Arabidopsis thaliana: one gene and its partner. The gene in region 2 interacts genetically with the main gene of each other region. Each region holds a gene or a part of one and is shown on either strand. Other genes may lie near its edges.

Region 1 (5,065 bases), on a different chromosome or scaffold from region 2:
ATTACACACCTCTCTCTATTCTTTGGTAAGTGGGTATCAAAAAATAACATTTATCATTCTTTGTATACTACACAAGGCTGTTATGTAACAAACCAATAAATCAACTTTATATATACTATGAGATTTGTATCATTTGTATGCTGGGAAGAGCTTATTACTTTAAATTTTTTTTTATATAAATCTTATTATCTTCTTAATAGTATTTCTTACAAAAACAATTGAGAATTTCTACTCATTTTTTTCCATCATTTATGAGAACCTTATGTAAACAGGTGTTGACATCTGAATCAAATTGAACCGAGATGGTTCGGTTTGGTTCGGTTTTGGGTTTGGTTAAATTGAGAAACCTGAATTATGCAGCGACCAAGATCTTATTCTCTGTTCTGTCTTTTCAACACTCGAGTCTGTCTGTCTGTCTCTTCTACGCAGCCGCGACTCCTTCTGTCTCCACCGCTCTATAATCTCCCCTGCGATCAATAAGGACATTTTCTCCGGTAAAGTCTCTATCTTTCTTCGTCTCTATCATTTCGCTTTGTGTTTCGTGTCACCTACATTTGATAAACCCTAGAGAGAAACAAATTGAGTGCCTTTCGAAATCGCAGAAGCACATTGTTAAAATTCGATTGATGGGTCATTGTTTTATTACACGTAATCTATTTCTGTTGATGAAATTAGGTCTATTAAAGATGTGATTTTGATATTTGGGGTCTCACAGCTTTTTTGAAAAAGCTTACACATTTTGTTTGAATTTGTCATTGTTGTTGTAGATGGAAGAGAGTGATGCTGTTCCAAAACCAGTTGTTGTTGATCCTCCATTATACGACGAAGCTTCTCCGTCAGCTTCTCAGCGCCGTCCGGTGGTGATCGCCGCCGATGCAGCTCCTCCGGCAGAAAATCATCTCATTCAAAGGATTCAAAGAGCTCTTGTGGAATTGCGCGAGTTGAGAAATCAGTTTAATGCCATTCTTAGGGAACTAGAATTCGAAGGTTTGTGTGTGTTTCATCTTCCTATTCTACGTTGTGTTTTCTAGAAAAAGAGATAAACAATTTTGATGATAATGCAGTGGGAGAAGAAGAAGAGCAAGCGGAATCATCAGTGGAAGATCCAGAGGACTCTGATTCTTAGTTTGTTTATTAGACTTTTTTTTTTTGTTTCTTCACTAGTAACCTATTTCTATCATGTTTCTATCTCTCTGCCCCTCATGATTTCCTGCGGTAATTATCTTTATCACTCTAAATCATCAAAGCCAACCCTTAACAGATCAATAAGTCTACTAAAAGAGAAATTACAAGTTTTTTTGAAGGAAGAATCAAACACATTCCACATAACATATAATATGCAGTTGTCTATCGTAAATGTTTTACCTTGACAATGGTTTTCGCAAGTAACGCATAATGGTCGAGAAACATTACATTTGCGACGAATTTGAACCTTATTCCCATATATCTCGAGAAGGTGACATTGCTTCATTTATGGGTATTCACCAAATAAGCATTCAATATGAATGGTAGTAATAAAGATTACCACTCGTACTTCTATGAACTTGGATTCAAGTTAGAGCCATTGTGAGTCCACTTCTGAATCTTTCCACTTACCAACCCATTTAGATGTTGCAGAATTACCATTTCTATTGGTTTTCCTATCTGCTTCTTTATCTTTGAGAAGCCAGCTTAAGTTTTAGCGCATTTAGCTCTTATTGCAAGATTGCATTGTGTCATAAAAGGTCGTTCTAAGTAAAATCTGGCACATGTTTTTCCAGTTAGTGGATTCATTTGTGAAACAGTTTGGAAAATGTTGCGGTTAAGAACTGTATTGCCAAAAATAAATTAAATGTTTTTCATCATTACTCATTGGTGACTGAAATGAATTGAGGTCCCTATACTCTTATTGCTTCTCAGCATCGAGTTGTTTGTGCATCACCATTGTCATGACTCATGATTTTTAGAATCATTTATGCAATTCATCATCTTAATCATTATCATTATAGGATGATTGTATCATATATAACAGTCGAAAGGGAAGGGCCAAAAAAAGTGAAATAAAGTTTTGTTCTTTGTAATGGAAGAAAAAGTTGGGAGGAGAATCATGGTTTCACTATGGTTCTTTGGAATTTTGATTTTGGTAGTTAGTGCCCAGGTTCCGGGAACCAAATTCTGATCATACTACAAAAAAATATCTTGCGGATTATTGTAGCTCTTGTCTTGCATAACATGAAGCTTGGAATTAACTAAAGAAAGTTTCTTAGAGATTCTTCTTCTTGTTTGTTCTCTAAAGAATCTAACACTCTTTGTAATGTTTATCTAAACTTGGAACTAATTAGATGTGAAACACTACAATTCATTAAACATGAGATCATGCGTATAGGAATTTGGTTCCTGCTGCACCGTGGCAAGTCGTACACCATATACCTTTTTCCCTATTTTATTCATATTTTACTTTATATTCACTTTACAATAAATATCTTTAGATATTTCTACAATAAGATCCTTATCTCTCTCCATGGTTTAATTAAAAATAAATCCAAGAAAAGTGCATAAAAAGATATGTACTTTTTATTCCTCTACCCAATCACTTCACAGCTTCACTCACGCGCGTGTTCTTTGATATCAGATAGATACGTCTACGTGAGATACACGCTCTTGTTAATCAAGTGGTGATGAAACAGAACTTACTCGCCTCGGTGTCCGATTCTACTCAGAAGATATTTACTATAAATATCTGATTTCTCTCGACTTTGACGAAAATCAAAAAGAGAGAAAAACACAATTAAAAATTATTATGAAGAGGAACGGCGAGACGAAACGGCGGAGGAACGTGGCGGAGGAGGCAGAGCAGGGAGAGGATCCGGCGATGTGGGAGAATCTTGACCGGAATTTCAGACAAGTGCAATCAGTTTTAGACAGAAACAGATCACTGATTCAACAAGTCAACGACAATCACCAATCGAGAATGGCTGATAACATGTCGAAGAACGTTGCTTTGATTCAAGAACTCAACGGAAACATTTCCAAGGTTGTTAACATGTATTCTGATCTCAATACTAGTTTCTCGTCGGGCTTTCACGGTGGGAAGAACGGTCACGATGGTGGTGGTGCTGCCGGAACTAGAGCTTAATGAACCGGAATCAAATTGTTTCTTCTTAGTTGGACCGGCCGGTTTGAGAATTTTGAATCTGTCCGGTTCAAGCTATGATATAAAGTAAATGTTTAGTTTTTGTATTGCAATGATGATTGTCGTTAGAATAATCCGTGGGAGCAAACCCATCTCTATTGGGGTTATTTTAGTTATGGTTTTGAGTCTTTTTCAATGTGTCTCTACTGCAATCTCTCTAATGATTATAATAATAATTGATACAGTATTAGATTACTTCTGGTTTGATTCTATTTAGAGACTTTTCTCATGTGACCTTGATAATAAATGAAGGCTTGTGGTTAGATTGTTGCAACTTGGAGTAAGTAATTTCGTCACATAGTGATGCAATTTGGTATGACATGTTAAATACAGTTGTTTTCTAGTGACTTTTCACTAGGCTGTGTATTAGAGAACTCTAGCATAGAAAATTTCTACGTTGTGACAATATTCATTTCCATCAAAAAGCAAACAGAAACTGCAGTAAAATAAATGTTGATACATGAGATCATGATCTAAAACCCAGGCAAACTATTTCGGCATTCATATACCACTAGAAAGCAAAGATCTTAAGAAGACGAAAGAGCTTTTGCACAAAAAGGACTAAAAAGAAGCATAGTTATTTGAAAGGGGACAAATGGCCAATTTCATATCAAAACATGAACTATCAAACCTATAAGTTTTTTTTGGGATTAAAATGGCATATGAAGAGGTTTAAAGTGATTAGCTCTGCTGTGACTGAGTAAATTTATGATTTCACTACTTTTTCTTGTAAACTTCTTGTACCTTATATTCTCAGTCATCATAAAATAGCAAATTCTTGCTCTCTTTGTGTGTGTAATATGGTATATATAAGGAAATTATGTACGATACTTTGTAACATTTGAATTTGATTTTTCTGTTGAGCATTAAGAATTTTGTTCTTCGTGAGAAAAAATATTTCATACAAAAACGATTCAAAACCATTACAAACTTACTTTGTCTAAGCAGGAAAAATAATTGATGGTCGAAAAGGATAAAAAAACAGAGGTCACATTAATATCAAACTAAACAATTGAAAGAAAACAACTACTTGGGCCTGATGGGGTTTGTCGGGCTCGCAAGAATCGACTGCTTGTTGGAGTTGATGTCATTAAGCAGTTTGCACTTGGCTTAATTTGGACTGTGGTGGACATAAGATGTGTTAGATTAGAAACATTACAACACTGATATGGTTGATGTTATTCTTGAATCATGACTCATGAGGATACATTTTCATTTATATTGTTTACTCTTTAATCTTTATATAGAAGAGGATACATTTTCATATCATTAGATGTAATTGACATATTAAAGATTGTGTGATTGTAAGGATTTTGAAGTAACTTATATTCCTTTTTTTAGGAAATACACCACATGATCAAATCTATCTTCAACGTTTTCGTGTCATAATACTTCATTTATGACAAAATTCTCTGTACCATTTTGACAACTACTGGCTTTGTCTTCTCCAAACACTTTGTTTTCAACATGATGGTGTTCATCAGTTATGTGATGGTGGTGACAATGACATTGTACATGCCCTTGACCATATAAATCGTAGGAGAAATATCTGTCCTTTTATATTATCTTGTCTTACTGGACCATTGAATTTTTTTGTCTCTTTCATCAGATTAAGTTATGTAAACCTTTTTTCTTCATAGAAGTTCTTATATGAGCTTTTTCTTTTTTCCTCAAGAAGAAGATTACACGGGTATACATACTAGAGATAGAGGTACAGAGGCTAATCTCTTGACTTGTAGGCTTGAGCCTAGGGAAGACAAATGAAGGTGCAGTGTATTCCAAATTAGCAACATCTAAAATTTAGGATTTTGCCCTACAAGTCTCGACCAGTGTGTACGACACTAATCACAATCATATAAATCTAGTGGAATATTAAGTTTTAAACTATTAATC
Region 2 (10,133 bases):
CAAGGAGCGTATTATCTGCATCAACGGTCCCATTAATGACGACACATCTCACGTCGTCGTCGCTCAGCTTCTTTACCTCGAGTCTGAGAATCCTTCGAAGCCGATCCATATGTATCTCAATTCCCCTGGCGGCCATGTCACCGCCGGTACGCTTCCGCTTTCCATTTTCTATCTTTAGCTTCGTCAAAATTCGTACTAGTGTGATTCGGAATCAGATCGCTATATGCCACTGCTTTGTCAATTACTTGATATAGTTGAAACTTTGATACTGTTCGTTGATACTTGTTCTTCTGTGGATTTGTAACTTGATTCCTGCTACTAGTTTTAATGTCCACAGTCTCAAGAGTGTCTGGTTTGTGACGAGTTAACACTTTCTGAGTCTCAAATTGTTTGTTGTGAGTCTGTGACGCATCTTTAATCTTTGTCTTTGATACAGGTCTTGCAATTTATGATACTATGCAGTACATTCGTTCTCCTATTAGCACAATTTGTTTGGGTCAGGCTGCATCAATGGCTTCTCTTCTGTTGGCAGCGGGTGCCAAGGGGCAAAGGCGGTCACTTCCAAATGCAACTGTTATGATTCATCAGCCTTCAGGAGGATATAGTGGACAGGCTAAAGATATAACGATTCATACAAAACAGATTGTTCGTGTGTGGGATGCGTTAAATGAATTGTATGTCAAACACACGGGTCAACCTCTTGACGTGGTTGCGAATAACATGGATAGGGATCATTTCATGACTCCTGAAGAGGCTAAGGCGTTTGGAATAATCGATGAAGTGATTGATGAAAGACCGTTGGAGTTGGTGAAAGATGCAGTTGGAAATGAAAGCAAAGATAAGAGTTCAAGTTAGGAAGTAACTGGTAATCAAAGTAATAAATTTTCTTCTTTTCCTCTTACCAGTTTTGCTTTGATCCTGTTAGATTACTTTTTTCTATGGATGAAGTTATGCTCTGAGGGCATGATCTCTCAAACTGTTTTTATTCATTCATAAATCAATCATGACTATATTTCTGAAATCTTTTCCTCGCATGTTTAGTGTTTACAGTCTCATATCTGATTCAGTAAAATGAATATTGGATTAACGCTTGGCTTTGGGTCTTAATTTTATGTGCAGTTTGATGCATTGCAAATCTTTGATTTATGCATCATTTTATACTAACTAGAAAGTCTAAAATGATGAGATTATTGTCTAGTTTCAGAAACCCCAGTTCTAGTTGGTTAGTTTATGTTAGAAGATGGGGTTTGCTGTTTCCTTATGCTCTTGATCGATGTTCTTCGGTTTCATGTTTTTGCTTACCTCATCAAGTCAAAGCCACATCTATTCTGATTTGCCTCTTTTTATATAGAAGAAGTTAGAACACATCATATTCTTGTGTTAACACTGGTCTTTGATTATGCTCTTTGAATTAGGGACAGAATCTTAAGATCTTTATGAAAATTCTTGTACGGTGTTGTCTTGTCGTGTTGAGCTGAGCCTTCAATTGCTAGTGTTTGCTTCTGTTACTCTGAATTATATTTGGACAATCTCACTCTAATAAAAGTTTTTTAAATACTAGCAGAATTGTTAATTTATCCTATGGTTTACATGTTTATATGATTTTGTTGGTTCTATAATGTGTAAAAATGGAAAACATGATTTTTTTTTCCTTTTTTTTAAAAGTATAAATGGAAACGTGTAGGAAAGTGTAAACAAGAAAAGAGGACATAAATGACCCAATGACTTAATAATATATTTGGTTGAGACTTAGGAGTAGTGAGATTAAACTACAAAATAAGGTAAATTGGAAAATAAGGAAAAACCTTTTTCGATTTCGATCTCTCCTTGGTGAAAAAGGAAATTGAAAGGGGAAAAAACGCCGACAACAGTAAACCAAACTTCTCACAAAAACTCCTTGGAAAGTTTTCACCTTCTTTCAGCCCTAACCCCATCGTCTCTCTCTCGCGACCGCCTCATCTCTCTCTGTCTGGATCAATCTCGCTCTCTCTTTCTCTCGGCTACGTCGCTGTTTCTCGTTTCGTGATCCGTAGCTGTCTCCGCTACTACCTTAATCAGCGAGCTTCTTCCGGTGGAATAATCTTCGGATAGGAGGAATCGGAGAATTCTTCTAATTGGGTGTCTGGGTTGGATTGGAATACGTAATTCTGTTGGGTGTTCCAATTTCGCGTTCAAAATTAGGGTTTATAGAGGTCTCGCCTATGGCTCCTGGGCGTAAAAGAGGAGCGAGCAAGGCCAAAGCCAAAGGGCAGTTGGTTCTCGGTGATCTGGTTCTCGCCAAAGTCAAAGGCTTCCCTGCTTGGCCTGCCAAGGTGCGTTATCATTATGATTCCTCTATTGGGTTTTAATTTTTCTTACACAGATTCTTGTTTTTTTTGCTTCTTCTCTAATTGAATTCTCATATAGTCCTTAAGTCCATAGTCATCATCTTTAACTTGTTGGGTCTTCTGTTTTTATCGTTACGAATTCTAGAATACACATTAACTTCGTCGAATTGAGCTCTAGTGTGTTCTGTTTCTTTTTGTTGAGATACTAGGCTTCATGATTAAGTTGGTTTGAAAGTCAGTTAACTCATCTATCTAGTTACTCGGTCAGATTCCATGGTTGAATTATGAAACACACATGTTATTCATCTCGATAAATAATGAGCTTCCGAATCTCTCTAATACAATTCTCTTTAGTTAGTCTCTCTTGTGAAGTAATTTGGTTTTGAGTTTCAGATCAGCCGGCCTGAAGATTGGGATCGTGCGCCAGACCCAAAGAAGTACTTTGTTCAGTTCTTTGGAACAGAGGAAATGTAAGCTATTCTCTTTTATTCTTTGATTCTGGTACCTTCTCATCCAGAAAGGTATATGAACTTTAGTCAGTATATCATGTTGCTAGGAATTAAGTAGTAGACCTCGGTTATCAGGTGTTTCAACATGTTACCAAGTGTTTTTCTTTTTGGCTGACAATATCTTTGGAGTTGATTTTGTCTTTTACAAACTGATCATTGACAAAGTTATCTTCCTTTACTGCAGAGCTTTTGTTGCGCCACCTGATATCCAAGCCTTCACTAGTGAGGCAAAGAGCAAACTATTAGCAAGATGTCAAGGTAAAACTGTCAAGTACTTTGCACAAGCTGTAGAGCAAATCTGCACTGCATTTGAAGGGTTGCAGAATCACAAGTCAAATGCTTTGGGCGATGAGGATTCTCTGGATGCTACTGAACCTGGTTTGACAAAGGCTGAGATAGTGGATGGAACAGATCATATTGTCATTGAGTCTGAGAGAACTGATAACTTTAATTTTAGGGTGGATCCTTGCTTCCCCAAATTAGATGAGAATAATGGTGAGGAGAGAAAGGCTGAGATAAGGAAGCTAGATTCATCTTCATTTCTGGAATCAAAGGTCAAAACCACATCCCCTGTTAGCGAGTCACTGGAGCATAGTTCATTTGACCCTAAAATAAAGAAAGAAGATTTTGATAAAGGAACTGACGGTAGTGCTTGCAATGAACATTTTGGTAATGGCCAAAAGAAGCTGGCTAACGGTAAGAGAATTAAGAAGGAAGCAGGTGGCTCTGATAGAAAAGGTGAAGATACAGTTCATCGAGACAAAAGCAATAACTCACATGTGCCTGGTGGTCGAACTGCCAGTGGTAACTCTGATTCCAAAAAATCGAAAGGTCTGTTGACAGAGAAAACCAGCTCCAAAGTGTCTGCTGATAAGCATGAAAATTCACCTGGCATCAAGGTTGGGGTTTCCGGAAAGAAAAGGAGGCTTGAAAGTGAACAAGGTAAGCTTGCACCAAGAGTAGATGAAAGCTCACGTGCTGCTAAAAAGCCGCGATGTGAAAGTGCAGACAATAAAGTAAAGTGTGAAATTGATGATGGATCTGATTCTACTGGGACTGTATCAGATATTAAGCGTGAAATTGTTTTAGGATTAGGTGCTCGCGGTGGAAATTTTCAATATGATAAAGAAGCAGTTGCATATACAAAGCGCCAGAGACAGACAATGGAGCATGCTACCTCTCCTTCTTTTTCTGGGTCTCGTGATAAATCTGGGAAAGGTCATCTGGAACAGAAAGACCGTTCCTCTCCTGTTCGTAATGTTAAGGCTCCAGCTGCACAGTCGCTGAAAAAACGGAGGGCTGTTTGTATCTACGACGAAGATGATGATGAAGATCCAAAAACCCCATTACATGGAAAACCAGCCATTGTTCCCCAAGCAGCATCTGTTTTGACTGATGGTCCTAAAAGGGCTAATGTGTGTCACAGTACTTCTACAAAAGCTAAGATATCTGCTGGATCTACAGAGAGTACTGAAGTAAGAAAGTTCCCTCTGCGTAAACATTGTGAGGATGCATCACGTGTATTACCAAGCAATGCGGAGAATTCTACTAATAGCTTACCTGTGGTAAAACCCATTAATGAATTGCCGCCAAAGGATGTCAAACAGATCTTGCAATCTCCGAAGATGTCCCCTCAGCTGGTTTTAACTAACAAGCACGTTGCAGGACAGCATAAAGTTGTAAAATCATCGGTGAAAGTTTCTGGTGTTGTGATGGCAAAGAAGCCTCAAAGTGATTCTTGTAAGGAGGCGGTTGCGGGATCTGACAAAATAAGCTCTTCTCAGTCTCAGCCAGCAAATCAGAGACACAAATCAGCTTCAGTTGGAGAGAGGCTAACAGTGGTTTCAAAAGCTGCATCACGTTTGAATGACTCTGGTTCAAGAGACATGTCTGAGGACTTGTCTGCTGCTATGTATGTCACATTCTATCTGTCATCTTTTTGTGTGTATGTCGCCTACTGCTTATAATTATTCTTTTCTTGCAGGCTTGACCTCAATAGAGAAAAGGGGAGTGCTACATTTACCAGTGCAAAGACCCCAGATTCGGCTGCATCTATGAAGGATCTAATTGCTGCTGCGCAGGCAAAAAGAAAACTTGCACATACACAAAATTCAATTTTTGGGAATTTGAACCCTAGTTTCTTGAGCATCAGTGATACACAGGGGAGGAGCCATAGCCCATTTATGGTTCAGAATGCTTCAGCTTCTGCTGCCATCTCAATGCCGTTAGTTGTTCAAGGTCATCATCAACAAGGTTCTTCTCCGTCAAATCATGGGCATCAGTCCTTATCAAGAAATCAGATTGAGACTGATGATAATGAAGAGAGAAGACTTAGTTCAGGGCATAAGTCAGTTGGAGGTTCACTTAGTTGTAGCACTGAGGCTGCTATTTCTCGGGATGCTTTTGAAGGCATGTTAGAGACCTTATCAAGAACCAGGGAAAGTATTGGACGTGCAACTCGCCTAGCAATTGATTGTGCCAAGTATGGGCTTGCTAGTGAGGTAAGATGGTTGGTTGGTTTTTCATTATGTTTTTTCTTAAGGCTTCGACAAACTTATTGTTAGGCTGCACATATCAAATCAATTTAGAATTGCACTTATTCTGGCTTTACTTCTTGGATGTTTAGCTTGCTACGTAAATTGCTTTCTCAAAATTATTTACAGCATTTGGTGCGTAATATTGTTCAGACAATAGTTGCTTTAATTGGAAATTTGTTTGTGTTTTTATCTAGGTGGTGGAACTTCTCATACGAAAGTTGGAAAGTGAATCTCACTTCCATCGTAAAGTGGACTTGTTCTTTCTCGTCGACTCTATCACCCAGCATTCGCACAGCCAAAAAGGTGAGCTTTCCTCTTGGATAGATGCAATACCTGTTCTCAAATTTTCACTTCCTTCCCTGAAATGCTAATAATACCGTATTTATTAGCATTTCAGGGAAGTAAAAAATTCACAAGCATTGTTGTATTGTTTTTTACTGTATACAAAGAGAACACCTAATATATTTATTATCATTAAAGATTAAATAATTTCCAGTGCTTGTGAATTTTGTAGGTATTGCTGGTGCTTCTTACGTTCCTACTGTGCAAGCTGCTTTGCCACGTCTTTTAGGTGCCGCTGCTCCTCCAGGGACTGGTGCTAGTGATAACCGTCGTAAATGTCTGAAGGTATTTAAACTATTTGCTTGTTTCTATGTTATCCTTACAGTTTTGTAGGCTGGAGTCAGTGACCTCTTTGTTTTTTTAGGTCCTGAAGTTGTGGCTTGAAAGGAAAGTTTTCCCTGAATCTCTTCTGCGTCGTTATATTGATGATATTAGAGCTTCTGGTGATGATGCAACTGGTGGGTTTTCCCTGCGACGTCCTTCTAGATCTGAGCGTGCTGTAGATGATCCTATCAGGGAAATGGAAGGGATGCTTGTTGATGAGTATGGCAGGTATGCTAAACGATTGTCTTGCTTAGTAGTGTACTCTCCGGATTATATATGTTGCTGATGAAAAAATAACAGGCAAGGTCTGTTGCCATTCTGTAGAGGGTTTATTAACTTGTTTGTCGTTTTTTCTGCAGCAATGCAACGTTTCAGCTGCCAGGGTTTTTTTCATCTCATAATTTTGAAGATGATGAAGAAGATGACGATCTTCCAACATCACAAAAAGAAAAAAGCACATCTGCGGGGGAACGTGTCAGTGCTTTAGACGACCTGGAAATACATGATACCTCGAGTGATAAATGCCATCGAGTTTTGGAGGATGTCGATCATGAACTTGAAATGGAAGATGTATCAGGCCAGCGGAAAGATGTAGCACCTTCCTCTTTCTGTGAGAATAAGACAAAGGAGCAATCACTGGATGTTATGGAACCTGTTGCAGAAAAATCAACCGAGTTCAATCCTCTTCCAGAGGATTCTCCTCCGCTACCTCAGGAATCACCTCCCCCTCTCCCTCCTCTACCACCTTCTCCCCCACCTCCATCCCCTCCTCTCCCGCCATCATCTCTGCCACCACCGCCTCCCGCAGCGCTGTTCCCACCTCTTCCACCACCTCCGTCTCAGCCTCCTCCACCACCACTTTCACCTCCACCTTCACCGCCGCCTCCACCTCCACCGCCTTCACAATCATTAACAACTCAACTCTCCATAGCTAGCCATCATCAGATACCATTTCAACCAGGATTTCCTCCCCCAACATATCCTTTATCGCATCAAACATACCCAGGATCTATGCAGCAAGACCGCTCTAGTATTTTCACCGTGAGTTCTTTGATTTGTTATGTTTCATTTTACTCATGATTCCTCACTATACATATGCATCTTTTATCATTTTTGTTTAAACCCCCTGGACATCATGTGCAGGGTGATCAAATTGTCCAGGGGCCTGGAAATTCTTCACGTGGAGGTCTTGTTGAGGGCGCTGGAAAACCCGAATATTTTGTGCAGCAGTCCTCCAGTTTTTCACCAGCAGGAGTGTGCAGCTCCAGGGAGCCTTCATCATTTACTTCCTCCAGACAACTAGAATTTGGGAACAGCGATGTACTTTTCAATCCTGAAGCTTCTTCACAGAACCATCGGTTTCAGCCGAGCACCCCTCTGTCCCAAAGACCTATGGTTAGGTTGCCTTCAGCACCGTCCAGTCATTTTTCGTATCCAAGCCATATTCAATCACAATCTCAGCATTCCTACACTCATCCTTACCCTTTCCCACCTCAACGTGATGATGCACGGCGATACAGAAATGAGGAACCATGGCGGATTCCTTCAAGTGGACATAGTGCAGAAAATCAGAATGGTGCCTGGATACATGGAAGAAATTCACATCCAGGCCTTCCTAGAGTCACAGACAGTATGTAGATGCTTAAATCCTAATAGACCCTTTACCTGTTAAGGTTTATTAACTTGCATGATTGCTTGTGGAGTTGTAATCATTGTGATACTTCTGTTGACTATGATTGTCTAGCTTGTATGTTAATGCCATGGCTTAGTTCCTTGAAATTGATGGTCTTATTTGCAATTCTACAGGTTTCTTTCGGCCACCTCCAGAACGTCCACCTTCAGGGACAATGAACTATCAGCCTTCTGCTGCTAGTAACTTACAAGCTGTCCCTGCAATTCCAGGTGAGACTATATTAGTCAATTCGTCTGATTGTAGACTCTCAAAGATACAGTCAGAAACCTTTGTGCTTACCCTACCATTTTAAATTACCAATTTAAGGTCATACTGCTCCCCAGATGCTACCGTCTCGGCCAGATATACCTACCGTGAATTGTTGGAGGCCAGCTTGAAGTGAAGGTAGAATTTTGTTGGCCTGCTCCTGTTAGTATCAATGGAAAAGAAGCTGCTAGTGTCTCATTAACAAGGTTAATCCTCTAGGTTTGGTTTTCTAAATACTAAAGTCAAGTCTTTTATCAGTGTTGTCATCAAACAGTTACAGTTATACTACTTTCTCTTCCATGGAGGCCTTTTTCGGATATATCCACTTCCAGAGGCACAAAAACTACTGCAGGCTTTTGCCAGGATTCTGTATATTGTATTTTTTTCCTGACAAATGTATCTGTGGATCATATTCTTAACAGTATAGGTTCTTTTTTTATTGGTTAGTACTTCAGTTCCTGTAATTATGCCAATCACAATTTGCTCAAAGCTTTTACTGGAATGATTTGATCTTCATAGTCAAACATAGTTTTTTTTTTCAGTTTTTGGGCTCTGTAATCTTTGCTGGTCTCTGAGAATGATTAATGAATACACTATTAAGAGTGTCCTTGACTAGTGGAGCAGTCGTAGGTGGCAAGAATATTCAGTGCAAGCCTGAGTTTTCTCCCTTGTTGGTTCCTAGACTAGAGACCTATTGCTTAGTCTGTATCCTGTTCTTTCAATGAGTAACGTCTCTTTAGGTCTACATATATGTTAGCTGCAATTGTAGGTATAACTACTTTCTCCAATGCTTATTTCTTTGTTCTGGAGATAAGTTATGTCTCGCTGCCTCATATTTTTAGCAGGAACAAGAAGCATCCATTTCTAAAAAATTGTGATCCAGTCTGTCCATTTTACAAGAATCTCCATACTGATATCTTGTGCATTGCTGATCTGAAGAAACATGTCGAAGACTTGTGAGGTACTGGTTTCTATATGTTTGTCTGAAAATATATGTTCTAAGCTCAAACCATGTGCTAGTGACATAACGAGGTTTTGCTTTATAATTATGGTTAGCACTTGATAAAGTGTTTTCTCCATTTGATCTCTCAGAAGAACCATTTTCTTTTCGTTTCTTCTTTAAGTATATATTCGAATGTTAGCAGATAGAAAATAAGAGGAGGAAAAGTGAGAAAGGATTCGAATTACCTTGATATTAGCTTATGATGTTCATTGCTTGGCGTATAATCTGTTCAAAATAACACTATTCTTAATTTGTTTTGTTAAACATGTGTTTGCGGATGCCTCACACGCCTGTCTTGTTCAATTGGCATGAACATACCTGTTTAAGTGGTTGTGGGGCTTCGTGAATATGTGTTACTTTTTAGGCTGTGCTCGATAGCTTTATTTGTAGTTTTTGGTTTTGAAGAAGCTGTTGTTATCATACATATATCTTCAAAGTGGTTTTGCCTTTCTGTCATAGTTGGGTTTGTGGCGTTAGATACTTCTTGCTTGCTCTTTGACATATATCTCTTGGTTTTGGTACCACAGTTTGATGCTTTGATATATGGCACTTTGTCTTAACCACTAGATACGGTCAAGATAAACGAGTAGCCTCTCTTTGTCATTGGTTATTTTACTCAGCGTATATAGTCTCTTGGTCTTTTTGCTTGTTCTGTTAAGCACGTTCAAAGGTGGGGGGAACCAGTTAGACACTTAAGTCTCATCACATGTTTCATGATGAACAGCATGAGGTATGCTTAAGAACATAACAGTTTGATGTTGATAAAGAAGTATCAGTGATTGAGAGGGAATCTGTATTTGATGTTTAATTGTCTTTAAGACACAGTCGACTTGTTTTGAGGGAATTAATCAAGTCGATTGACATATTTTCGTAAGAGTACTCACCAAAGAAATTACATTATTTGCATCAGCAGAAGATCAAGTATACGTGTGAGGGTTTTGTCAGATCAGTCTTCCATAATACTTACCTACTTGCTCTGCATTAAGTCGCCTGTTATTTTGTTGTGTTATCAAATGCCTTTGGGGATATGTTTGGATGTACTTGTATTTGTCTTGACTTCAATTGCGAGAAAATGTCTTCTTAAAGGTGTTGAGTGACTTACGTCTTGCAACAGGCCTTTGGTACAGAGCTGAACCATCTGGAACTTTGGCA

What was found. Genes that interact genetically often act in the same process or in processes that back each other up.
Region 1: of HUA2 (region 2) and ELF4, changing one enhances a phenotype caused by changing the other (phenotypic enhancement), as found in Arabidopsis thaliana (one study listed by BioGRID).

The regions. Positions count from the first base shown.
Region 1 is NC_003071.7:16,732,595-16,737,659, reverse strand, and holds ELF4 (EARLY FLOWERING-like protein (DUF1313)), read left to right. Parts: upstream 1-2,747; 5' UTR 2,748-2,779; coding exon 2,780-3,115; 3' UTR 3,116-3,366; downstream 3,367-5,065. Other genes in the region: AT2G40085 (uncharacterized protein), read left to right, coding at 768-987, 1,065-1,126. UniProt on the Arabidopsis thaliana protein: Component of the central CCA1/LHY-TOC1 feedback loop in the circadian clock that promotes clock accuracy and is required for sustained rhythms in the absence of daily light/dark cycles.
Region 2 is NC_003076.8:7,783,972-7,794,104, forward strand, and holds HUA2 (Tudor/PWWP/MBT domain-containing protein), read left to right. Parts: upstream 1-1,863; 5' UTR 1,864-2,201; coding exon 2,202-2,312; intron 2,313-2,720; coding exon 2,721-2,797; intron 2,798-3,020; coding exon 3,021-4,748; intron 4,749-4,820; coding exon 4,821-5,337; intron 5,338-5,567; coding exon 5,568-5,676; intron 5,677-5,887; coding exon 5,888-6,000; intron 6,001-6,079; coding exon 6,080-6,267; intron 6,268-6,398; coding exon 6,399-7,080; intron 7,081-7,182; coding exon 7,183-7,669; coding exon of another isoform or gene 7,670-7,677; exon of another isoform or gene 7,678-7,845; coding exon 7,846-7,941; intron 7,942-8,038; coding exon 8,039-8,109; 3' UTR 8,110-8,184; exon of another isoform or gene 8,185-8,723; intron 8,724-8,760; exon of another isoform or gene 8,761-8,820; 3' UTR 8,821-9,020; downstream 9,021-10,133. Other genes in the region: NCLPP7 (nuclear-encoded CLP protease P7), read left to right, coding at 1-146, 437-855. UniProt on the Arabidopsis thaliana protein: Transcription factor that functions as a repressor of flowering by enhancing the expression of several genes that delay flowering including FLC, FLM/MAF1, MAF2 and SVP.